4 linked regions of the Drosophila melanogaster genome follow. The protein of the gene in region 3 interacts with the protein of the main gene of each other region in a pairwise test. Each region holds a gene or a part of one and is shown on either strand. Other genes may lie near its edges.

Region 1 (6,065 bases), on a different chromosome or scaffold from region 3:
GCCGGGCGAACAACTCAGAATATTGTGATTGGAGGTCAGACAGTGAAGCTTCAGGGAGCGGTAAGTTATTTGGGGAGATTTTAGGCGAATAGTATTATTTATAAATTCAATGTTAAATTTTCAGATTTCCGCTCGAGGTGCCGGCGCACCCGTTCAGACTGTCATTATGGGCAACCAACTGTTGCGATTAGCCAGTAGCACCAGTAATAGTGGAACTACTTCCACCAGCGGCATAACGACGGCACCCAAAACGCTGCTAATAGGACCGCGCTTGGCCAAGAACGTACTGGTGGCCAACAAGCAAATCACTAGTACAGCAAACAGCAGCGTTGTAAACAGCTCCACGACAGCATCTCCAGCTGCGACAGCGACGGCAACGCCTAGCAACAATCTCGTTTTCGCCGTGCAAGGCAACGGCGGACAGCTCTTCTTCTCACCGGGACTGCAGGGCATGAACCTAAAGCCACTGTCCAGCTTAAAAGTGATACCCATGGCTGCAGCATCGGCAAGTGGGGCAGCGGTAGGAGGAAAAATCTCTGTGACCACGGCAGCCGGCGAAACAGGAGCAAAAACGCTGACTACAAAACTAATACCGGCTACGGTTCTCAAGACGGCCACAGGGAGTGGCAACTAGGAGGCTCAGGAGCGGAGAGGCTTGGTAACCACGTTGAATATCCTTACCGGTTACACTTTCTTCGATTTTGTTTAAACAACACTTGTAATTTATCTATGTAAGCAGAAAGATCGCAAATATTGCTTTGTACTAAGTAAATATAATGGACAACGATAAGATGTCCCATCCAGCAACCAATTTTATGGAACAGTTTATAAAAAATAATATATATATATATATATACAGACCCAATAAAACTCAGATGAAACCAGAAGGGCCATGTTTATTTGCAATACAAAAACCAATGTGCTTTGCATTTTTCCAACTCTGTATGGATAAAAGGCAAATGCAAAATGGTTTCTATTTTATTAAACATTAAAATTCGAATGTAAGTACTTCGCCAACCAATTATATAAAAATAAGAAAATTTAAATAACAAATTTCAACGTTTGCATTTGGCAGGCCAGTGGAAAATGATAAGATGCACAATACTCTTACATTTTTAGAAAAATGAAATTAATATGGAATAATGGCTATACGCTAGAAACGATACTAACCCTTATGCTGCTTAAGATGTCTGTTAAGCTTAATTTTTAAGTCAAAGGATCTGCCGCAAATGTAGCACGAGATGTACGCTTTTTCTGGCACCTGTTGGACAGGAGAGCTGTCATTAGAGGTCGCTGAAGTCCTGCTCTCCTGCTGGGCAGTGCTATCTAATTGAGAAGAAGACTCTAGGACGACTCTTTCTTTGGACTCGATGGTTTGCTTCTTGGTTATCTTTGCAATGGGCGACGTAGGTATTTCCTGCGTGGTCTTTCTCACTAATGACTGGTTGTCTGAAGAGCGACGCCTCTTTCTTGTCTGTGTGTGAGTGGCCAGCACATGAGCCTGCAGCTGCTGGGCCTTCTCGAATGTGTCGCTGCAATATGAGCACTTAGTGACACTTTCAGTTGGCTCGGTTGACGGTGAAGCTACATCTGCTACATCAGGAACTTCTCCGTTTGCAGGTGGGCCCATTGGACATTGAATGTCCGCATGATTGGAAGTCTCTATTGAAGGAACACTGGAGTTTTCGGTTACATTAGAATCTTCAGGAACAGTGGATTCCCCAGGAATATTTGAGCCCTCAGAAGCCGTGGTGACTTCGGCGACACTGCTTTCCAGTGAAGATAAATGTTGAGATTGAAGGTTAACTGGAAGCTGCTCCAATTTTTTCAGTTGCTGGGCAAGTTCGGCTTCACCCTCTGGGCATTAAGTGTAAAGTTATAAACAAATAAAACCGTTGTAATTCTTCTTACTGACCTTCTAAGTGCTTTTTCAAATGTGCGTGTAGAGTGGCGTTTTTCACAGCTGCAAAGGTAAATGTGATTAATCCGATAAATTAGTTTTATAAGTGAGAATATTGAACTCACTTTTTCCACAGTATGTGCACTTTGTGCGTACGTGCACTGCCTGCTTGTGCTCCTTGAGAGTCTCCTTGGAGCTGCAGATGAACCCGCAAACGGGACACTTAACGTGCCGCTGTAGCTTGTGATACTTGATGTGAAACTTGATGCGCGATTCTTGGGCATTTGTGAACTTTTTGCCGCAAATATGGCATTCCCAGTCCTTGAGGAGATGGGTGCGGCGCATGTGCTCCATATGCGCATCCTGGTCGGGGGATTCGTAAAAGCATAGCTTACAACACACAACCGGCGAGTAAAGCGGGGGCGGAAGCGGGGCTGCCGCATCGTTGTCATCATCGTATGTAAATCTGACTATCTCCTCCTCCTCCTCCTCCTCATCTTCGGTGCCATCGTCGACCGTCCCGGAGAGATCCTCAATAGACGGTCCTAACATGCCGGACGTTAACGCATCGTTGTCTATCATGTCGAATCTGGAGTCGACTGGCGACGCAAAATTTTTGGGTTCGGGTGGCTGAAACTTGTCACTGTTCTGTAATGGCACTCGGGCCATGTGTTCCTCCTTAATGGGCACATGCGGTATGTCGAAGACGGCACACACGCGTCTACTACCGTCCTCGTCGCTGTTATCCTCCTCGTCGGTATCCAGATATATAAATCCGCAGAATTTCTCTTCCTCCGGCTCAATTTCCCGTTTAATAACGATGCCATTATGTTCGCGCTGGTACTCGAGCTCGCCGAACTGCTCCTGTGTCTCCACACAGCTGCGCTTGAATTTAATCAGCCGGTGAAACTCGGCAATGCAAGCGATGCACATGTACTGCGGTCGTCCGTCTTCCCTCGCAACCTTTGGGACATAAGTTAGGTACACATAGTACGATTCCACTACTACCAACCTTTATGTTCCAATCATTCATTTGCTCGAGAATCTCCGCCATATCTGCGACGGCGGCGTCATCCGAACCGAAAATGGGCTTCACAATCGCCTGGTCCATGTCCATTCCCATGGTAAAGTAAATTCCGCAAGTCCGGCAGGGTTCGATGGAGTCCTCATTGAAGCCATTCAGATCCGCACTGAACTCCATGGTGCGCTAGCATATATTCAATTTTTACAGGAATCCGTTCCACAAAGCGACCATTTTCCTTTTTGTTATTCTGTGAAATTGGAGGTGGAGCATCTTGGACAGTGTTGCAAAATTATACCCGTCGGTCGATAGTGAAGGATTGTGGGTGGTAGTGATGCTGGCAGTATCTAATTATCTAGATACTACCGATAATAGCTAGATCTTTAGCTTTAAAAAAAACCTTATCCAAAACAGCATTGCAGATTATTTATAATGTTTCTTTGTGTTACGTAACTACTCAAAAACTCATAGCAAGAAGTTCTTAAACCCAAAAATATCCCGATTTAGCGGATCGTCTTTCCTCATTGAAAGTTATCGATTCACCGCCCGGCCACTTTTCGACGATACTCAACACTGTGTCATTGTTTTTATACGAAAAAACACAATCATCCGCCGTCCGAGCAATTGTTTTCCTGCCTGCCCAGCAACTGTATTGAAAATCACCAGAGCCCGGGCTTCCAGCATCCCCGGAGAGTGCAATGAACCTCACAGAGCAAAACCCATATGGAAACGGGCTGCTCTACGCAGCCTTCAATCAAGACCAAGGTACGTACATATGTGCGGATGTGTGTTATTTACATATACACGATACACCTTATCGGTATAATATAACTGGCCTTTTGCGTTGCAGGATGCTTCGCGTGCGCGACGGACACCGGATTCCGGGTCTACAACTGTGATCCGCTGAAGGAGAAGGAGCGCCAATACTTTCCAGAGGGTATGATTGTCAAAAAAAGAGTGCGGGAGACTCCCACGGCCTAAAACAAATTCCATTGTCTACAATTCCGATTCAGGTGGTCTCAGCCATGTGGAGATGCTGTTTCGTTGCAATTACTTAGCCCTGGTTGGAGGCGGCATCCGGCCGCTGTACCCGCCCAACAAGGTGATCGTGTGGGATGACCTGAAGAAGTCCCCGGCCATATCGCTGGACTTCAATCAGCCCGTGCGGGCGGTACGACTGCGTCGGGATCGCATCGTGGTCGTGTTGGAGGGCGTGATTAAGGTGTTCACCTTCACTCAGCAACCACAGCAGCTGCACGTCTTTGAGACCAGCTCAAATCCCAACGGGCTGTGTGTGCTGTGCCCGCACAGCAATAAGAGCCTCCTCGCATTCCCCGGCCGTCGAACTGGCCACGTTCAAATTGTTGATCTGGCCAACACAGAGCGGGCGCCGCTTGAGGTGATCGCCCACGAGGCTGGTATCAGCTGTATTGCCCTTAATCTGCAAGGCACGCGACTAGCCACCGCCGGGGAAAAGGGCACCCTCATCCGTATCTTCGATACGGAAAGTGGCAAGAAGGTATCAGAGCTGAGGCGCGGAAGCAACCACGCCAACATATTCTGCATCAACTTTAACCACCAGTCCACAATGGTGGTCGTCGCCTCCGATCATGGCACCATACACGTCTTCAACCTGGAGGACAACAAGCCCCGTGAATCCTCGCTGCCCATAATACCCAAGTATTTCTCGAGCCAGTGGAGTTTTGTCAAGTTTTCAATACCCCAGGGACCTCGATGTGTATGTGCCTTTGGCGCCGATCCTAATTCGGTTGTGGGTAAGTTGGAAATGGAGTGGATCCTTCCCTGAGATTTCTTTAATCGACATTTGTTCTCTTATACAGCCATTTGTGCAGACGGCCACTATTATAAATTCCTATTTAACAATAAAGGCGAGTGCAGTCGAGACATCTGCACACAATTCCTTGAGCTGCAAGACGATGAGACCTAGAAACAAATCCGATTGTTGCGAACGCCTTTGATGCATCTATACAATTATATATCTCCATGGAAATGTGTTATACAATATTACTTATAAGCATGCTTTAAAATACGTTAAAAGTCGAGTTCACATAAATGTAGTTATACCTTGAGACATGATTGTGGATATTTTATATTTTATTTGAAACATAAACCGATAATCCAACATGCTCATTTAATTTTACTTTAGCCTTCATTTTATGCATTGTTACGCCAATTGTAACTTTAAAAGCTGAAAAAGGTTTTTGTTTTATTTCCCCACTGAGAAATTAAGATTTACTTATTAATTTTAAATGAACTTGAGCTTATCGTTTTTGTTGGCACTACATTTTTTTATAATTTTAAGGGACATTACTCATTTTCATTACCATTGCCGTCGGTAATAGTGCATAGTTTTTTCTGATAAGTAAACCTTTGCAAGAAATGCTATTATTGTTATCCACGAACGTTTAAAGGTTTTTAGATAGAGGTTGGTAGTGAATCATTACAAAGACTACTTGAACCTAAAAATAAAATAGACGAAACCCATTTCGAATTAAACATGTTACATAAAAACCACGTCATATACATAAAACTAAATTGTTAAGTTTATTTCTCAGAAATATCACTGGAATGTTAAGCACTTTTAAAGAATGTTTAGGTGATGACACAGTCCACTCGCAGCCCCTCACAAATGTGTGGTGTTACTCTCCTCGAAGGCAGGATTGGACAACCCAACTCCTGCTGTTCTTCCGTTCTGTGAACGCGGCGTAAAATCGCTCTGTTGCAAATGGATGATCTTTGTCTGCTGCGTCGATGTGATGGGCACTTGGAAGTTACCTTGCATATTAATAGTATTCCCGGGGAATTGTGCCTCATCCTTGATGGGTAACTTGTTGCTGGGCTGCTTGCGAAGCAGATTCACATCGGATTTCTTGGAGAAATGAGCTTCGATTTCCTAAAATATATAGTTAAGTAACTTAAGTAAAAAATGAAAAAGTAGTGTATACTTACACCCAGTGTGCGACCTTCTGTCTCTGGAAGCGTAAAGTACAGGACAACGGTTCCAAAGAATGCCACACTGGCATAAAAAGCGAAAGTTCCTGGCAGAGTTAGGGCACTCAGCATCAGCAGGAAGAGTTTGTTTGCCAGGAAGCCAAATATATAACCCACACCACCGGCAAAACC
Region 2 (5,801 bases), on a different chromosome or scaffold from region 3:
AGTAAGCAAGGGGCTTCGGATACTACTCATGGAATTTCATGTTTGTTAACTTAAAAAACATACAACTATTTCCTGAAGGTCTCAGCCTATTTGAATTATCTATTATTAGCCTCTTACAAGTATCTACAATCAGGATATCTTGTTGTAATCACTATATCAGAAGGTAATTGCGTATTTTTTGTGCGAAAGAACGACCTACTTATGCACATTTTTGATGATGCTCACAGATTTTTCGATGCGCACCCACACGTGATTTGCCTATTGATTGCCAACTATGGCTGTAGTTTCTCTATCAAAATCAATCTTCAGGTCATTTCATACTCACCAAGTGTCCCCTGGAGGAGGCCGACAACAATGGACTGGTAGAGATGTTGTGCAGCGTGGGTTGCTGGCGCTCCTGGAAGGCCCGAATTGCAGTCAAGTTGTTGCTGGGATGGACGTGGTACGGCGAGCTGTTGTGCGACGTCTGCGGCTGACTGACCAACTGCTGAAAAGTACAAGGGTTCCCATTCGAATAAAAAATCAATAAAATGCAGGGTAGGAAGCGGAGGTTACCTGCAAGGCTATCGACTCCGTGGAACAGCGTTCGTTCTGCAACTGCCTGTAACTGCGGCCGCGCGGATCCTCCAGCTGCATGGCCTTCGTCAGATAGTTTATGTAATAGCTGGAACGGGAAGAAGGGCAGCCGAATGGAAGATGAGCTTCTATCAAATCAAAGGTCAGCAAATGACCTCCCACCCAGGGCCATTCGAAAGCTCTTGGATTCAGGCCAAGGGTGGAGGCACATCCTAAAGCCGGCCGGTTGGTGGTGGACTGGATTGGAGTGGATTGGTTTGGGATTCTCCCCACATGTTGATGGTCCCTTGGGAGGACGGACAGGTAAAGGGTGAAGGAACCGCCTAAACCAAGGCACGTGCCAAGTAGCTGCCAAAAGGCGGACGCACAGTCGTCATTTTCATCGTCGTTTGACAGGCCATCTCTGCTCTGATTTTCGGAATGGAGAGGGTGGATGTCGACGAGGACGTCGTGAGGATGGAAAGCTCGTCTTCGGTTGAGTGGCCTCTTGAATTAACGTATGACAACGTATGTTGCTTAATTGCACATGGCTTTTTAAGCATAAGGGGTTAAGTTATATGTATATATGTATGATAGGCTAAGGAGATGTTAAAGACCCCGCTGGCATCCGACGACGCGGAAGTGACACAATTTATGCCGCTGAAACGAGGCCAATTGGAGTGGCTAAGGAGCACTAAGCTAAGTAGCCCATAGGGAACCACATGGTACCCACACGCTGGGTCTTTAGAGTTCAGTAAAATTGTTTTGCGTATCAGTAATAATAATTTAAATTTAAATTAAAACATTTTCTTCAAACATAAAACATTTTGAAAATTTTATGTTAGAAAGTTCTTTCGATTATAAGCTGAAGAAAAGTTAGCCAATATCCAATCCAAGCTTGTACTTCGTTCCATTGTGTGTTAAATGAATAATTTAAATTAGTACCGAGCTTGCGTCCTAAGAGTTTAAATACCAAAGGTGTTTCAAAACTAAGTTCTGCAAGCCACCGAACTAACGAATAATTTCCTTATCACTATAAGGCCAAACATGGCAAACACCACCTCAACCGGACGCCTACCACCCAATCATTTTAAAGTAAGCGACTTACGCCCCCAAGGCCCCCTACATACACCCACAACCACACACCCAACCATAATCCTTCGCCCACCGAAAGAGCCACCCCAAGCGACGTTGGCACGCAAATTTATCAGTTGCCCCCGTGGCAACCTATCAAATGGAACCCCTATATCCCACAACTGGCCACCACATCTCCCAGTACAGTCCGCATTTCACGACATTGTGGTTAATGGATGCATAAATATTTATGACGTCGGGCTGTGCACATGCAACTCACCAATTTCCAGTTGCTTGATCGTATTTGCAGTCCCAGCCGGGCGGCATTTTCTGATAGCCACCGGATTCGCTCATTTTCACCGCTCACGAATAGATACAGATGCAGATACAGTAACAATTGCACTTGCAGATGCGAGGCGCTTCGATGCCCAGTTAAACCGAACGACCGTCGTTTTATTATTTTCGTTTTCTGCCTGAATGTTTATGGACGTTTAAAGTCGCATTCGCAGCTTGTTTGCCGACTGTCTGCAACCCCGAAAAGTTGGCAGGCAGGAGTGCCCTTGCCACTTATCCTGCGCGGAGCTTTGTAGTTGCCTTTGTCGTCGGATGTTTCAGATTTGGGGGTTGTAACCACCCTCGATGGCAACCTCTCCTCGGCAGCAGAGTTATTTTTGTTTACAAGGCACTGCCTGCCGGGAAAAAGGACCGCAACACACAGATACACACGCTCACACACACACAGTTCGATGTGGCGTGCCGTTAGTAAGCAAGCCAGCCAGGCTTTAGCTACCCGGAAAGGAATCGTTTTTGGGGAATCCTGGAGTCGCGACGCTATAAACAACCTCGCGAGCCAAGCTTTGAGAGTCAACTGAGGAAATCAGTGGCGGGCGTTAAAGCTTCAGATGCTGTGCGAATAGTCGTTAAAAAAGCTGGTATCCAGTGTTGGAATTTGCCCGTCGAAAGCTGTGCGCCAAACTTCGATTCAGCTTTCAAACAGGCACACAATTCGAATTTAGCTCCCCCGTCAATTTTCCAAAAATTTCACCTTTGATTTACGCATTTAGTTCAGCTACAACTACACATCGGCAAAATGGCCGAAATCTTGGCACGCTTGACGCGTGTTTCGGAAAACTACCTCCAAGAACTGGAGGAGGAGCCGGAGCCACAAGGACCGCCCAAACTAACCAAGGCTCAGAAGAAGGCCGCCAAGAAAGAGGCCAAGCGACTGGCTATGATCGAGGAGAAGCGGCTCATCATGCGGGTGGGTTCAACTAACTTTCGCAGAGTTTTTATTAAGGATGAACCTAAGCAAATCCTTAATATTATTAATTTTTATAATAAAAATAATATATTAAGACTATATTAAAATTGTAAACGCATCATTTCTAATGTTGCGCCATGATCCTCTCAGGATGCCCTGATGCGCGAGCTGGAGATGGGCAAGCATATGGAGGAGAAAGGCAACGAGGAGTGGCACGAGATGTGCCGCGAAATCAAGATCAAGGAGCTAAACGAGGAGATGAGGGCTTGGGGCGAGCGCTCGGAACGTAACATTCAGGCCAAGAACGACCACATCAAGATGCTTCTGGACGACATGGCGCAGACGCAGGATCAGCACGTGCGTTGCTACAGCAAAACGGTGGAGCTGATTGATCACATTCGCGACTGCTTCCACGTGATGTTGGGCGGGGTGAAGAGCATGTATGACCAGCAGGCTGACGAGATGCTGAGGGATTACTATGAAGAGGTGCGCCGGCGCACCGAAGAGGTGGAAGCCATGAAAACGAACTCCGAGAACATAATCCATGCCACCAACATCACCACCCGGGATCAGCTGAAGGAGGATTACACTATCTACCTGGAGCAGCGCGACGATCGCGTGAATACGGAGATTGAGAACAGATTTAAGATTCGAGATCAGATTGTCCGCCGGATGACGCACATGCAGCAGCAACTGAACGACTTCGTGGAGTCGCTGAGGAGCACCGAACTGGATGCCCACAAGTACGAGAAGATCCACTGGCTGACGGAGCGGCAGGCGGCTTTCATGGAGGAGTCACGCAAGCTAAACGCCGAGGAGTCCAAGTACATCAACATGCAGGCGGAACTGCAGCGCGAAATGGTTCGCATGGATGCGGAGAACAACTCCACGCTCAACGATCTTCGCCTGGAGTTCCAGTACTTCACCAACGTGCGCAAGAAGATTGAGCTCAACCAGGAGATGGATCGCGAGATCACGCACGAGAAGTTGCGCATCCTGACCGGCGAGTGCTACGAGTTGACCAAGGTGAACCTTTGTCCCAAGCCCTATTACCCATTTCTAAATTGAAATATTATTCCAGCAAATGGAGAAGCACGTGAAAAGTGGGGAATTACTCTTGGCCCTGTCGATCACTTGCAGGAAACTGCAAACCGAATCGGAAAAGGTAATCCTCGGCGGCGAGGTATTCGACGAAACCGAGGTGGATGTCGATGAATACTTCAAGCTGCAGACTCTCAACCTGAAAGATCACGTGGACATGACCGAGGAGGAACTCGTGGAGCTAAACAAAAGTCTCAGGAACTTCTGGCGCCGCCAGGCGATGGCCGAAGCTCAAAACCTGCTGATGCTGGAGGAGAAGCGTCGCCTCACTGAGGACAATCAGCGCCTGATCGACTTTATCAAATCCATGAGTGTCACCGAGGATCCGGAAGAGCTGCGAACCGCCATGCATGTTTCATCGCCAACTCAACCCATGCCACCCAAACTTTTCGAGACAAAGTGCCAGGAATTCAAGTCCAGAAAGGTCGTGCATTCACCGACGGCACACAAGGAGGCCAAGTGGGAGGCCGAAGCCACTTTGAATGAGGTGATTCTGGACTTTTGAAAATATGTGGCATTCAAAGTTATGTTTAAATATAAAAATGAGCTCAATTAAATTGAATAATAGTTAAATTAATATATTTACCTTGTTTGCAATCGCAAGAAAAAATGCTATAAAGACAAATATTTGATTATCGAAGAGTATATTGTTTATTTTAATAGTTTTGAAATTGCTGAACACAGCATGGGTATCTCAAAGTGCCAAAATCAATATATTTTAAAACAGATAGTTTTTGTTTTAAACAGAAATTTAGCTGTACTTCTACTTATGTATATTATTTTGCAAACTGCAAGTCTTTACTCTACTAAATATTGCTAATTCCCTAAAAGAATGCCGAAGCTCATGTTTTTAGTTAATAAGAAAGCTTGCGTAGTTAAAAACTAAATAATAGGAGCAACGACAGACTCTTAGGAGACTAGAAATATGTTTTAAGTGCAACATGGAGATATGTAACTAGCTTTAGTTCAGCACCAGTGCAATCTAATCTAACTGTTGCAAATATCAATATTTCTCTCAGTGTAAAGTGTTACTGTAGTGCTTTGGTCCATCAAAATGCAGAGGCGTCTTCAACATATGGCAATGGGTATGCTTGACTCCCTAGTGTAAGTCCACCAGTTCTTTCGAGTTTAAACAAAGCTCAGGGGCTTAATCTTCAGTATTTCCGCCAGGTTGGCGCACGTCTTCAACTGATTCTCCAGATACTGTATACCGCCGGCGGCATCGACGTCAGCCATTCCCTTCTTCTCCTTGTCTCCAGCCAGCAAAACGGGCTTGCTGGGATCGGTCTGAAAATGTAAGTATTTCAATTGAAAATAAATTTTGTAAACATTTTTGCAAACTTTATATAGAAGAAATCCTAAAAAAAAACTTATTCAAATGTATACAAAAATGCTTATCGTAATAATTTTCCAGAAAATTTAATATTTTTTTTATTTGTTTTGAATACATTTGAAGATATTAAGATTATGGCGACGAGAGTGCCAGTATCTATTTTATATATGCATTTGTATGTATTTTTGATAAGATTATCAAATAATTTATTTCCAGGAGAATATAGATTTGTATTCAAATTTCAAACCTTTTTTTTTTTTTTTTACTTGACTAACAACAGTTGGAAATCATACCTTTCTTAATATTTTAAATATTTTAAAAGTTATTTAAATTTTCTTAATACTGGTTGTTTTTGCCGCTACTTATAGATTAAAAGAGTATACTAGATTTGTTGGAATGTTTGAAACAGTAAAAATCAATCGTTTCCGATCCTATAAAGTACTCTTGATCTGAATCACTAGCCGAATCAATCTGACC
Region 3 (6,138 bases):
CTCGCCGCACAGCAGAATCATGCCCGTCTTGGCGACGGTTTCTGTATTAAATATTATGGAATGTGTTAAAAGAAATTTCGGCAACTTTTTCAGGTAATCCAAAAACAGATTTGCCGGTGGTTTGACCTTGTTTTTTTATGTTGGCGCTATCGAATAAGTCAACTTCAAAAAGAATGGCACTCACGGTGATTCTTGATTAATTCTATGAATGAGATTATTTATTGTTGGTCAGCGCACCTTCATTGGCCGAATTTAATATAAATCTGATTTTGGGTCAGAGCAGTCATGTACTCCAGGTTTCATAACACTTACCACACGCCACCTTCGCGTTTGGATCCTGCTTCAGATGGGCATCCAAGATAGCGTCGCTGATTTGGTCGCACATTTTGTCTAAAAAAAATAAGGTAAGCAAGAGGTAAGCCAGAGGTGGGCGAAGAAGGAGGGGAAAGCATTTTTGTCGGGGAGTGGAAGGAGGAACGGGCCAAAATGTTATTCAGTGCGACGGATCAAAATTTGCTGGGCCATGCGGTTTCATTTAATCTGTCTGCTATTGACAGCGAAATTCAATTCCCAGAACAAGAGCATAAGGCGACCGTAGTGTTGTCCAAACACAAAATGATGACATTTGAAGCCGAATCGTCCATGAAATCCTGGGAGTCGGATTCATCTGATACCAGTCGGGTTGCTCGCGCTTGCCTCAAAACTTGGCGCGTAATTGGAGTCCGTCAACATTCGGCTACTTTTCGTAGTAAAGGCGTTATTGAACTCGAACATGCGTCAGCAATAGCAACATAAATTACCAAAACTGTTGACTCATAGAAATGGCGCATGGTATCGATTTCGGCTGGGATAATGATTGCGAGGAAACTAGTTAGGTCAAGGGTTTAAAGTAGCTACTCTGAAATGGGTTTCAGGGTTTCCAATTTCCGGCTAGTCTAATTATCTATTCTAACAAGTCCGTCACTCATTTATTACAAAAAGACAGGCGATATTAATGTCAACCATTTGGGGTGTATTCTTCTGAATGGCACTCGGCGCTTATCATCACGATTGTATAGGGCTAGATTGTCTAGGGCTAGCTTGCCAAGCCGACTTAATTAGCATTATAAAATAAAATAGTATAGAATAGTAAAAGTAATCAATGCGTAGTATAAAAGGTCGCTCGGCTTATCAACAGCTGTTGTCAAACACACTACTATACTGGTCGCCACTGCTGATATAAACAAACTCTGGGAGGGGCGAAAAGATCGAGCTCGAGCAAAACACGTGGTTGGCAATTTCGGTGAAAAAAATAAGCTTTGACAGCGGTCTAGAAAAATGTAAGGTATGTTTGTGTTGGCCGTTGTTTTGATCGCCATCTGCGATCAAATGAACAAGTGCGTGGACAACGTAGAACAACGTAGAGAATACTTGAATTTCGCATCTCCCATGAGCCACAAGCACATGGTGCGCATGACGTAGTCTCTCTGTACACACATACATACATATGTGAGAGCCGCAAACGATAAAGAACCAGTCTATTAATTGCGTCTGCCCATCCAAGCACAAGGTTTAGCCCGCTGTTGTGCGGGGATTTCAAGAGAAGCCAGCTGTTCTCCGTGGTCCCAGCTTTCCGGCTTGGTCACCGGGCGATGCAACAGAGGCACGTTTTACTAGCTCTTCTTCCCGTTCTCAGCCTCTGTTCAAGTCGTGCAAATTGGGTAGAAATCAACAAAGGTATGGACATAATTTCGTCGCCATTTTGTTAGAGTTCAGGCGGTAAGCAGAAGTGAGTAGACGGTGGAGGTGTGGAACTGGGTATACAGGGAAAGGGACTTCAGACAGAAGGGCCTCAGACGCTAGAGAATCAGTTTGGTCAGGTTATGAGAACTGACAGGCAACATCTCTCACCACGCCCGAAGGGGCATTTGAGATTGTTTCTTTTTTTACACTGACACTATCGGTATGATGCAATAGGAGGCGCCGCAGATGCAATGAAGCACTCACCTGGATGACCCTCGCCAACGGACTCGGAAGTGAACAGGAATGTAGCTCCGTCTTCCATGTCATATGAGTTGCCATTGCTGCCGTTGCATCCGTTGGCGCTATGTCCGTTTGTCTTTTGCGGCATGTTGATGGGTAGTTTGTAATATGTAACTCGAAGTTTGAAGGGGCAATGGGGGAGCAGTGCTATAACCCGAGTTCCGGTCGGCTAAATTGTTGGTGGAGCTGGGGGAACAGAGAGAAAGAGAGGCCACATTAGCGGTTGTTAAAAAACGCTTAACGAAATTGATTTTCCGAACTCTTGCAAAACACATCTATTTTCGCATTCGCGAATCTAAGCTATAGGCCGCCTCGAGGCTGTTGGGATTTTCCGGTATTCGCACACTTTTCGTTATAGTTTTTTTTATATAATCGCCCTTCTTTTATGTTTTTATGCTGCGCGTTTGCCACAATCGTCGCTACATACATGAGACGCACGTTGAGCGGGTTCAAAGCTAAACTAGTCGCTAGGTGAGGGCTCGGTGCTGCTAGCTGTTTAAAATGCGTGTTCGACGTTCTAGCTATTAGTTCAACAAATTATACACACTGATTCTGAGTTATACTGGTTCAGCGACGGCAACCAAATCAGCGGCGCAGCCAACACACGTCCTATCTTAGCGACGGTTCTGAAGAAAAAGAGCGCAACTTTTTAATGCCATTCAGAATTTATACCTCCAACGAGAGAGCGGGCTTTTGCTTATCGTCGCAAACGGAGGAGGCGGTTCTCTTCGGCTGACTCGATTATTATTTTGAGACTTATTTGGGCGCTCTTTAGGGAAACTTTCCTAGCGTTCTCGGTACTCTCAAATGATTTTACTTCTTCAGTATCTCCACGTTTTTGGGTTTTAAGCAGCTGTTCCGCCGCCCAGCGTTGCCACCCCGCTCCGGAGTGAACTGTAGTGAATCTAGATCCAGATCCTTTATTTTATACTCACTGTGGTTTTGAACAAAGGATCAGACAAGATATGGATTATAGTCTCGACTAGCTTCCTGCTCAACCTGCGTTCAACTGCGGATGATTTTTACAGACGAATAATATTTATAAATTTTTGTAGACAGCATTTGAGAAGATGAGTCGGCAAGAAATAAGAGCTTATCAGAACAAAACTATGTGCTACCACGGCAGCCACCTATATACCTAATTTTTAAAATCTGTTTAGCATTGCTCTCTCGGCTTCTCTTATGTACAGCAATTGACATATACATATTCGATGATATAGACAATCGCTACACGAAGCGCAATTCGAAGCGAATTTTTAAACGAATGTCTGTATCTGTTGAAACCCTAGCTTTTCCCTAACATGGAGTGACTGCCCTTTTGGAGATGGATCGTTCGACACTATCTTGTCAAGGAAAGTCGTCAATTAGGGTTCTCATACTATTCGAACAATTTGTGCTTTTGAAAAAGTGCTTACGTCATGCCACAGCCAAGAAGACAAACAAGGTCTGCCAAGATCAAGGAGCCTGGTAATCAGTTTTTGCATGTACATTTTTTAAAATTCTAATACCCACTGAATATAACCGAAAACAACAAGCCCCATTATCTTTCAAATAAGGTGTGACCCCACGGGGCCTAAGAAGATCGCGTGTGCCTGAACGAACAGATGCGCAGGGCACATTATTCTTGAGCACAAATGGTGGGTGCTTGCGAACTGTAGATTGTGGCAATGCATTTATTTTACTGATTTATCGTCAGTTATTGTAATAGCCTTAACTAAACAATTTATCACTTTGCCAATAACAAGGTTTTTTATTATTTCACTTTTCTAATACATATATAATTTTCTTTTTGCCGTAAGAAACGTTCTCAATACGTAGACAAAAATATTTAAACTTAAAATGCTCAATTTTCAAGACACTTCACAAGAGCTATCAGCTACAATGACTGGGCAAAAGCCAATTATTTAAATAAATTCATTATATGGTAAAATATACTGCACGCAATTAAGTGCACAATTTTCTTTTGAATATATGAAAGGCACGCGCCAATAAGCCAAAATGATACGGCAACTCTCCCCGATATACGTCAGATAGGGCGATAAACAGATGTTTGTGAAAAAACAAATTGAACAAATAGTGAAAAGTTAAATGCGAGCGTTAATAGCGACCACGTCACGTTTTGTCGGCAAAAATGAGGGTTTGGGTAGCTTATAGTGCAGCTGCACTCTTACTGTTGGTGCACGCGGGTCCGGAAAGCATCAGTGGACAGGAGGTGCCCCAAAGCAAAACATCAAGCAACACCACCACTACAGATAATAGTAGCTCTATCCACACCGTTTCGGATGTCTTCGTCAACAGTCCGCTTGGAAATGTCACGCCCTCGATTTCTGCATCTGGTAATGCAAGCACCACGAAAAGGGGAAACGCATCCACATTGGTCACAGATCCGCCTCTAATCGATTCCCATGCTGTCGAGCAGGAGCACAACTCCTCACTCTCACTGTTTTTCGTCATCTGCGTTATCATGTTGGGCATCCTGCTTATCCACTCTATGCTCCAGACCGGGTTCCAGTACCTGCCAGAAAGCATTGTGGTAGTCTTTCTGGGCGCCTTTATTGGCCTTTCGCTGAACGTTATGTCTGGGCAGAATGGCAGTTGGAAACGTGAAGAGGTCTTCTCGCCCATGGGCTTCTTTCTGGTGCTCCTGCCGCCCATTATATTCGAGTCCGGTTACAATCTGCACAAGGGAAACTTCTTTCAGAACATCGGATCCATACTGGTCTTTGCCATATTCGGTACAACAATTTCTGCACTAGTCATCGGGGCGGGGATTTACCTGCTGGGCCTGGGGGAGGTGGCATTTCGGCAAGTTTAAAATAAATTGTCAATTTCATTCAATAATTTATCCTAAATTTTAGCCTAAGCTTTTCGGAATCCTTTGCCTTCGGTTCTCTCATCTCTGCTGTTGATCCTGTGGCAACAGTGGCAATTTTCCATGCTCTTGACGTAGACCCCATACTCAACATGTTGGTATTCGGCGAAAGCATCCTCAACGACGCCATATCTATTGTGCTGACTGCATCCATAACCCAATCCGCTAACGTCAATGCTGAGGCCAGCACTGGAGAAGCCATGTTCAGCGCGTTGAAGACCTTTTGCGCGATGTTCTTTGCTTCGGCGGGCATTGGAGTCATATTTGCACTAATTTCGGCTCTTCTTCTGAAGCACATCGATTTACGAAAGCATCCATCCCTCGAGTTCGCGATGATGCTAATGTTTACTTACGCACCTTACGTCTTGGCAGAGGGAATACACTTAAGCGGTATATCAATGTTGTTGACTATGACTCTAAAAGCTAAACATTTTTTTCAACTATAGGTATTATGGCTATACTATTTTGCGGAATCGTCATGTCCCACTACACGCATTTCAACCTATCCACTGTAAGTCATATGATATCCCTATTTTATATATTATTAAAACTTTTTTAATCGTAGGTTACCCAAATTACCATGCAGCAGACGATGAGGACACTAGCTTTCATTGCTGAGACCTGCGTGTTTGCTTATCTGGGATTAGCAATCTTTTCTTTTAAACACCAAGTTGAACTATCTTTTGTTATATGGGCCATTGTGCTTTGCTTAATTGGCCGCGCCTGCAATATTTTTCCGCTCGCGTTCTTGGTCAACAAATTTCGCGAGCATAAGATCAATAACAAGATGCAGTTCATTATGTGGTTTTCTGGCCTACGCGGAGCGATTTCCTACGCGCTATCTTTGCACTTGAATCTTGACAGCCAGGAGAAACGACACGTCATCATAACAACAACGTAAGCATATTCCGGATTGTAAAATAATGCTCAGTCATTGAAGAATTAAAATTTCAGATTAATCATTGTGCTATTTACCACGCTAGTGCTGGGGGGCTCCACAATGCCTCTGCTAAAGTACCTTAAGCCAGGAAAAAAACGGCGGGCACGCGGCTCTGGAAGGAATGCCGCTGAGGAGGGAGGTCGACGCAACGGCAGCGGTAGGAAGCGTTCAAAATCTATTTCCCTATCGAAAACTCGCGAATGGGGCCAGGCAATCGACTCTGAACACTTGTCTGAACTCACCGAGGAAGAGGACGTCACCTTTACTCAAGCGCGCGATCGTTTTGGGCGCATGGATCGCAAGT
Region 4 (6,285 bases), on a different chromosome or scaffold from region 3:
TCACTGTATGCCATGCTACCTTTTCTCTGGCCCTTCGTTTTTTATGACCTCACACTTGAACAGGCCCACAAATCCAGTGGCAAAGCACCAATGATAGGTGATAATGGCAAATTTGAAAGCCAAACAGAGTTGGTTTCCAGACCCAAAGAAAACCGAGCCTGCTACAAACTTAAGCTGAAACAAAGAACGAATTTGGCCTTAAAGTCATGCTTTGGCCAAGACAAACAAATGACTTGGGAGAAGAAAAAAAAAAAAAAAATCAAAAAAACAAAAAAACGGCATCAAGAAAAAGCCGGCAAATTGACTGTCGGTTGGCATTAAAATTAGCATTTTTACAAATCGTTTTCGACTGAACTTACACTTTTCCCCGACGAAAATTCAATTTAAATTTCTTCTCCCCTTTTTTCCCCTGACAAATGTCGCGCAATTAATTGTGTCTAGATTTCTGTTTCACACTTTCCTGCAATATTTTTTTTTTGTGTTTTGAAAAGGGTTGCCCTATAATTGACAAAGTTTTCCGTCCGAGAAGACAGGTCCTTCTCTTCGTTTTCGATTACAAAATATTTAAAAATTTATTTAATATTGTTTTGGTTATTGCTGTTCAACAAATCAACAAAACTTTAATAAACCTTCAATTCCATCTCTCATCCTCTTGCGATTCGGTTACTTCAATCCAAAAAATTTCTTTCTCGCCTATTTTCGAATTTTATTCTTTGGGCGTCACATAAAATTAATTACAAATTACGTGCATTTTTCGGCATAGGGCAACTTTTCTCGCAGTAAAGCGGCGAACAAAAAAATAGTAACTCCGTCTGCGGCTTTTCTCGCTGACCGCAGGCGCTAAAAGCCAAAGAACCGCCGACAAAAAAAAAACAAAAAGAAAAAAATGATAAGTGCAGGATAAAGGGAGTTGTGAGTTAAAACTTGAAAAAAGAAGTGCATAATACACAGTAAACATAATAATGTGAAATGATGACACTTTCAAGTGCCACAAGAATCTAAAAGTACGCAATTTTAACTGGAAGAATTTTAAGTCTCAAGGATTTTGGAGGCGGATTTAATGAAAAATTAATGATATTTATAAATAGCAATTATCAAAAATAATAATTGAAGTGAGAGAAGCATATTTTTTTTTTCTGTTATTTCACCGTGCATGCGTGCAAAAAATCGTGGTTACGGCCGGTGCTGTTGGTATCAATTAAGTCACTCGTGGGACGGCAACAGAATGGCCATTAATGGCGCTATCTCGCTCCCGCCATTTGGCCATACTGCGGTTTAGCTTACATTTCACATCCGGTGGGCGGGCGTGGTCCTTGGGGGGCGGGGCGGTGGGTGTCGGTGTTTGGCAATTAATTTGCATATCATTGATATGCACACACAGTAACAAACACGCACATGCACATTATATTTGCTTAGGATTATTATCGGTTATTAATGTTGCTGTAATTGAAAATTATTTTCACTTTTATGTTTATCATTATCAACTGCCATTTTACATCCTACATCCAGCATTTCCATCTGCGGCATTATCGTCGCATGGGAATTATTGTTTGCCGTGATTTAAGTGCTTTAAATATGCACATCTGCATGCATGTATGTATGTATGTATTTCGTATTTATGCGAACCGAGCCCACGAAGCGTGGGCCACGTCCATGCATAATTATCAACATTATGGGAATAGTTTTGCTACTAGTTGGACTTCCTGAGGTTTTGTCGAGGCATTTTCGCACCATTGACACGTGTTAAATAATAGATTTTGATCCAAAGGCTGGTCGGTTCATATTTTAAATAACCTTTAATATTAAGCGAATTGTAATATTTTAAAACGATTTTGTACAAACATTTTGGTATTGGTACAAGCATTTTGAACTGCATAAGTATTCGGTTCTCAATTTATATGCCATAATAAACAGTTTAGCACGCATTGTTCTTATAAGTGCTGGCTTGTCTATTAAAGTTTTATTGAGTCATAATAAAGCTGATTTCGGAATTAGTTCGGTTAACAGCCCCACCGATTTTGGAAAATCTACTTCGGCCCATTCGGAAAGCCCCAAGCGAATCAAAATTAATGATACGATTTAACCACATTGACTGGGGAATAAAACAATGGGCCAACTGTTTTTAGACTGAATCGCAAACAATAAAGACCGTGCCGTAAATATTTAATGCGAGGAAGGAAAGTATTTGTGATTGTCGCGCCGACGTGAACAATTTGGCACTTCATTTTTTATAATTATCATACGATGGTCAGACAATCGGAACAGCAATCACCGGCGGCCAGGTGAAAATTTGCCCAGGGAATATTGTGGTAAGGGGGGGGGAGGGAGTAACGGCGGGAAAGTGGGCAAGGTGAAAACATAATTTTTGCACAATTAAAATGAGGCGAGAAATATGTGCGCACGATTCAGTGACCAGACAGTGTATCGCTAAAATTAAACGACATCTGAAGGTAGTTTTAATGAAAGAGACAAACATTTGTTCAACAAACATTTTAAAAATCTTAATAAAAATTGTATTTACTATCATTACCGGCTATCATTGTGTTTTAAGCCGCTCTATAGTTTCGAAACATACTGTAATCGCGTTGAACAGATTTGGCTCGAATCCTGATATCAGTGGGATCAGTTCTGAAAATGTGAGTGCAGATGTAAATGTAAATGTAAGTGGATGAGTGAGTCAATTAAATCGCCATTGAATGGTCAGCGTTCAGTTTTCGATGTTGCGCGTTGTCTTTTGTTTATTTATTTATTTGTTTGTTATTTATACGTTTTAATGCCCAATGGCAATGGCAACAATGCAGCGGGCAAAATGCAATATGGAGAATGGTATCCATGACAGTGCATTAAGCAGTCTCCAGCAGTTATTAATCGCCTGTTTTCCCCGCTCTACCTATCATTTAGGGGTTTCAATAGGGCGCCGCAATACGGCGAAACAATTATCAAGTCGGTTTGCGTTCGCTTTCCCGCCGGATTGCGTCCGTCCGTTCGATTTCCGTTTCCGTCGCTGCACAACACTGATTGCAGGGTTGCATTCGGGCAGAATGCGGCTACGATAAACACCTGATAAGCTCCCGATAACTCCTATAAGCACTCTTCAAACGGATCAGGCCAAAAGCCAGCTCACTGACCAGATCTGAATTTTTTTTTAATGTAATACTTTGGTTGCATTACGCAGCACCAAAAATTAAGTTTTCAGCTGATTGAACAAGTTTAACAGATTTTTATACTGAAGTATAGTTGATAAATTTTTATTTTTAATTGATGCAGAATATTTCTGAATTCTTTTTAAATGAGCGGACCGACGGTAATTAAAACGATCCGCTTTGAAAATATTACATACTAAAACAAATTAAACTTTGAATAAGAGAATATTTTATTTATGACCATTTTCCAGCTTTTTAGTATTATTATCAGCGTCGATTTTTAAGTAGTACTTTACTTTATAGGTAATAAGTTTGTCGGAAACTTTTAACAGTTTCTAGGTGAAGAATTTATGAAGAAACTATGACAGACCAAAAATCAATTTACTCGAATTGTAAAGGAATTTCTTTTCGGCCTTGGGTTTTTTTTTATTTTCAATTCGAAATATTGTATTAATCAAGAACACACGCAATAGTTTTCAACATTTTGTACAATCCGTTTTTCGATATTTTTTTAATGATCTAATGATCCTTTTACCTTCCAGAAGCGAAACGATGAGCAGCAGGTGAATCAACATTTTGCCATTCCGATCGCAGCTGGTGAACTGAAAATTCCGAAGTAAGCGTTTCGCCGAGACTGGCATTTGGTTTCAATAACTTCACAAACACAAACACATTTGCGATCGTCACGCGGAGAAAAAAAAAACAGTTTCACTGCACTAAAAAAATGTTAAAAAAAATATTCACCCAAATGTATATGCTTTAGAGTATTTTTTTTTTTTTATATTAATAATTATTTCTTAAAGACGCGAGTATTCCGAGAGTGCAGCTTCGAGTTCCGTTTGACTGTTTTTCAACCAGCCGACAGCGCCGACGTTGATCAACTGAAGATGCAGCTGCCGGAATAAGCATCCTGTGGCCTCGAGGACGACCGAAAACGAACAAATCGACGGCACCGAAATGGCACGAGCTTCGAACGAAGCGACACGAAGTCCTGTCGTAATCGTTAGCCGTTGGATACTGTAAAACCGAACAGCCGTCCCGAATGTCCTGCTGACGAACCCTCGTTGCCAATTGTCGAAGTGGATGTTCGAATCGAACGCCGTCCACCATGTGCCGAATGCGATCCACATGGCGGGCACGTGGTGGAACGCATAGCTCTTAGATGCCGGCGGGGGGATGTCCTGGCGGCGCAGGCGCCGTGTCCTTCGGAGGAGGAGTGTCATCCACATTCGTCTGACAAATGGTACGACAATTGCTACAAGCTGTGGTGGCATTTGGCCACCGCCTGGCAGAATCTGAATCTCCTGCGACCACAGCGTCCAAATGGAGTGACAGGAGGGTCCGCGCGTTGGGCGCCAGTTGTGAAGAACTCGAGATTGCGACAGGTCCCTGGGATACAACATTTCACCAAGAACTCAAGTCGAGTTAGTGAGACCACTAAAAATTTCAGCAAGCACTATGTGCTATATATGTGCACCTTTCTTTAGAAAGCCTCATCGCAATGGGCCTCATCAAAGGTTAAGGGCTACCGATTTTGCTAACCGATATAATTTCCACGCAGATAATACAGTTTTATAATAATATTATTGCTAATAGTGACATGCAAAATATCTAACCAAATACTTTTATGTCACAGAAAACGTAACCCTACGATTTGAAACAAATGAAATGATATATTCTCAGCTGCAGATCAATTACTTGATTTGCATTATTGAACCCTGACTTTTGTGCCAAATTTGTTGGTACAACCACTTAGCCACATTCCACATCGATTTACGTATGCAATTTGGTCTACAAAATGCGCTTGAATCATTTTGAGTTTCGCATATGCATGGCCAATTACTTTTCCCGGAGGTCCTCATAAGTTGTCCGTTTCGAACTGGCCTCCAGCTGACATTCGGTGGTTGATCAACCACCCCAACAATACCCCATTTCCATTTGGCCATCGAAAGGAGCAACTTTGCCAGCGTTGGGCGGAAAAAGTTTCGAAGTGCATTCTGCATTCTGTCAGATAAGCAGGCGACACAATCCCAATCGAAATCCCAATTGACATAATTTTCAATATTTCAATGTCGGGAAAATAGGTAGATTGCACTGGAATTTAATTGAACTTTAACTGTCAGTTTTTTGGGTCCTCAGAGGCGTCACAAATTCGCTGGGGGAGGGACCACATCTTTGGCCACGATGTGACAGGACCGAAAGTCAGGGCTGTCAAAGCTATCACAAAGTGGCTTAATTATCCAATAGACGCTAGATTCTAAATGTCAGCGGATGCCAGTCATCTTAAATTGTGGATAGTGTCTTCAACTTTTCCATTAAATAACTCAATTACGCCTCAGACTTTTGCTGATGAATGGGTCTGGGGTAGAGAAATGGGGCTGAGGCATAATTATGCCATTACGCAATTTTTACCACCCGATCCGCTTAAATGAATTGCAGCTGCTCCGCCATCAGCTGAAATGCGCTGCAACAAATCAAAGTGCGATTCCTTGAATGCCACGACGAAAACTTTTCGGCAATTATCCACAGGAAAAGCGGAGAATAGCGAAGAAAATCGTTGAAAGTGCGAGGAAAAAAGTTTGATAGGAGAATTTAAAATTACCAGAAAGCTTTGAGGATGATCCAAATTCCCATTAGTTACAACTGTCCGAAAGAGTTCTACAAATTATTTAGATATTGACATCCGAAAATATGAACTACTGCAAGTGGCCAGGGTGCCTTGTTTAACATGGGTTTTAATTAACAATCTAAAGTTTTTATTTCTTCCTCTCAAATTAGATTTTACCGAATAGATCGACTTCTTTTATAATCTCAGTTCGAAAGTCCCCAATTTAATTTTGAGATTATTAACACCTATACAATGTGGCGCAAATAAGTCCTCGCCAACAACACACATGGTTAACTAATCCTAGTCTTTTTCCTTCACTTTTCTACAAACTTCTGGGACAACGAAGAAACCAAAACCAAAACTTTTGTTTCTAAAACTCGTGTTCCAAGTACCATGCACAAAGGAGGCGATTCTGGGCGTGGATGGGGCCAGGTGTGTGTGAATTTTGAATTTGAATCCCACCCCCGCTTTCGTCCTTGTCTGGCAGACACCTGCTGGAGCTGTAATAAGTATGCAGCGACTACAATTTCCTGA

What was found.
Region 1: the proteins of Sam-S (region 3) and E(var)3-9 interact in a two-hybrid assay, tested with the Drosophila melanogaster proteins (one large-scale study listed by BioGRID).
Region 2: the proteins of Sam-S (region 3) and CG10510 interact in a two-hybrid assay, tested with the Drosophila melanogaster proteins (one large-scale study listed by BioGRID).
Region 4: the proteins of Sam-S (region 3) and DIP-alpha interact in a two-hybrid assay, tested with the Drosophila melanogaster proteins (one large-scale study listed by BioGRID).

Annotation. Positions count from the first base shown.
Region 1 is NT_033777.3:8,989,765-8,995,829, forward strand, and holds E(var)3-9 (enhancer of variegation 3-9), read right to left. Parts: upstream 3,186-6,065; 5' UTR 3,102-3,185; coding exon 2,913-3,101; intron 2,864-2,912; coding exon 2,026-2,863; intron 1,964-2,025; coding exon 1,916-1,963; intron 1,858-1,915; coding exon 1,166-1,857; 3' UTR 881-1,165; downstream 1-880. Other genes in the region: CG11970 (uncharacterized protein), read left to right, coding at 1-60, 125-634; CG11975 (uncharacterized protein), read left to right, coding at 3,620-3,686, 3,772-3,858, 3,935-4,696, 4,763-4,869; CG31100 (uncharacterized protein), read right to left, coding at 5,566-5,835, 5,892-6,065.
Region 2 is NT_037436.4:21,206,913-21,212,713, reverse strand, and holds CG10510 (uncharacterized protein), read left to right. Parts: upstream 1-2,629; 5' UTR 2,630-2,719; coding exon 2,720-2,890; intron 2,891-3,040; coding exon 3,041-3,916; intron 3,917-3,971; coding exon 3,972-4,496; 3' UTR 4,497-4,566; downstream 4,567-5,801. Other genes in the region: CG10508 (uncharacterized protein), read right to left, coding at 326-487, 556-664, 1,910-1,983; CG10512 (uncharacterized protein), read right to left, coding at 5,120-5,278.
Region 3 is NT_033779.5:104,658-110,795, reverse strand, and holds the start of Sam-S (S-adenosylmethionine synthetase), read right to left. Parts: upstream 3,894-6,138; 5' UTR 3,796-3,893; intron 3,036-3,795; exon of another isoform or gene 3,032-3,035; 5' UTR 2,958-3,031; exon of another isoform or gene 2,450-2,957; intron 2,209-2,449; 5' UTR 2,111-2,208; coding exon 1,987-2,110; intron 1,203-1,986; exon of another isoform or gene 1,046-1,202; coding exon of another isoform or gene 1,003-1,045; intron 391-1,002; coding exon 313-390; intron 42-312; coding exon 1-41. Other genes in the region: Nhe1 (Na[+]/H[+] hydrogen exchanger 1), read left to right, coding at 4,154-4,827, 4,881-5,284, 5,341-5,405, 5,460-5,791, 5,849-6,138. UniProt on the Drosophila melanogaster protein: Catalyzes the formation of S-adenosylmethionine from methionine and ATP. The reaction comprises two steps that are both catalyzed by the same enzyme: formation of S-adenosylmethionine (AdoMet) and triphosphate, and subsequent hydrolysis of the triphosphate.
Region 4 is NC_004354.4:3,526,637-3,532,921, forward strand, and holds the start of DIP-alpha (Dpr-interacting protein alpha), read right to left. Parts: upstream 4,030-6,285; 5' UTR 3,785-4,029; coding exon 3,679-3,784; intron 1-3,678.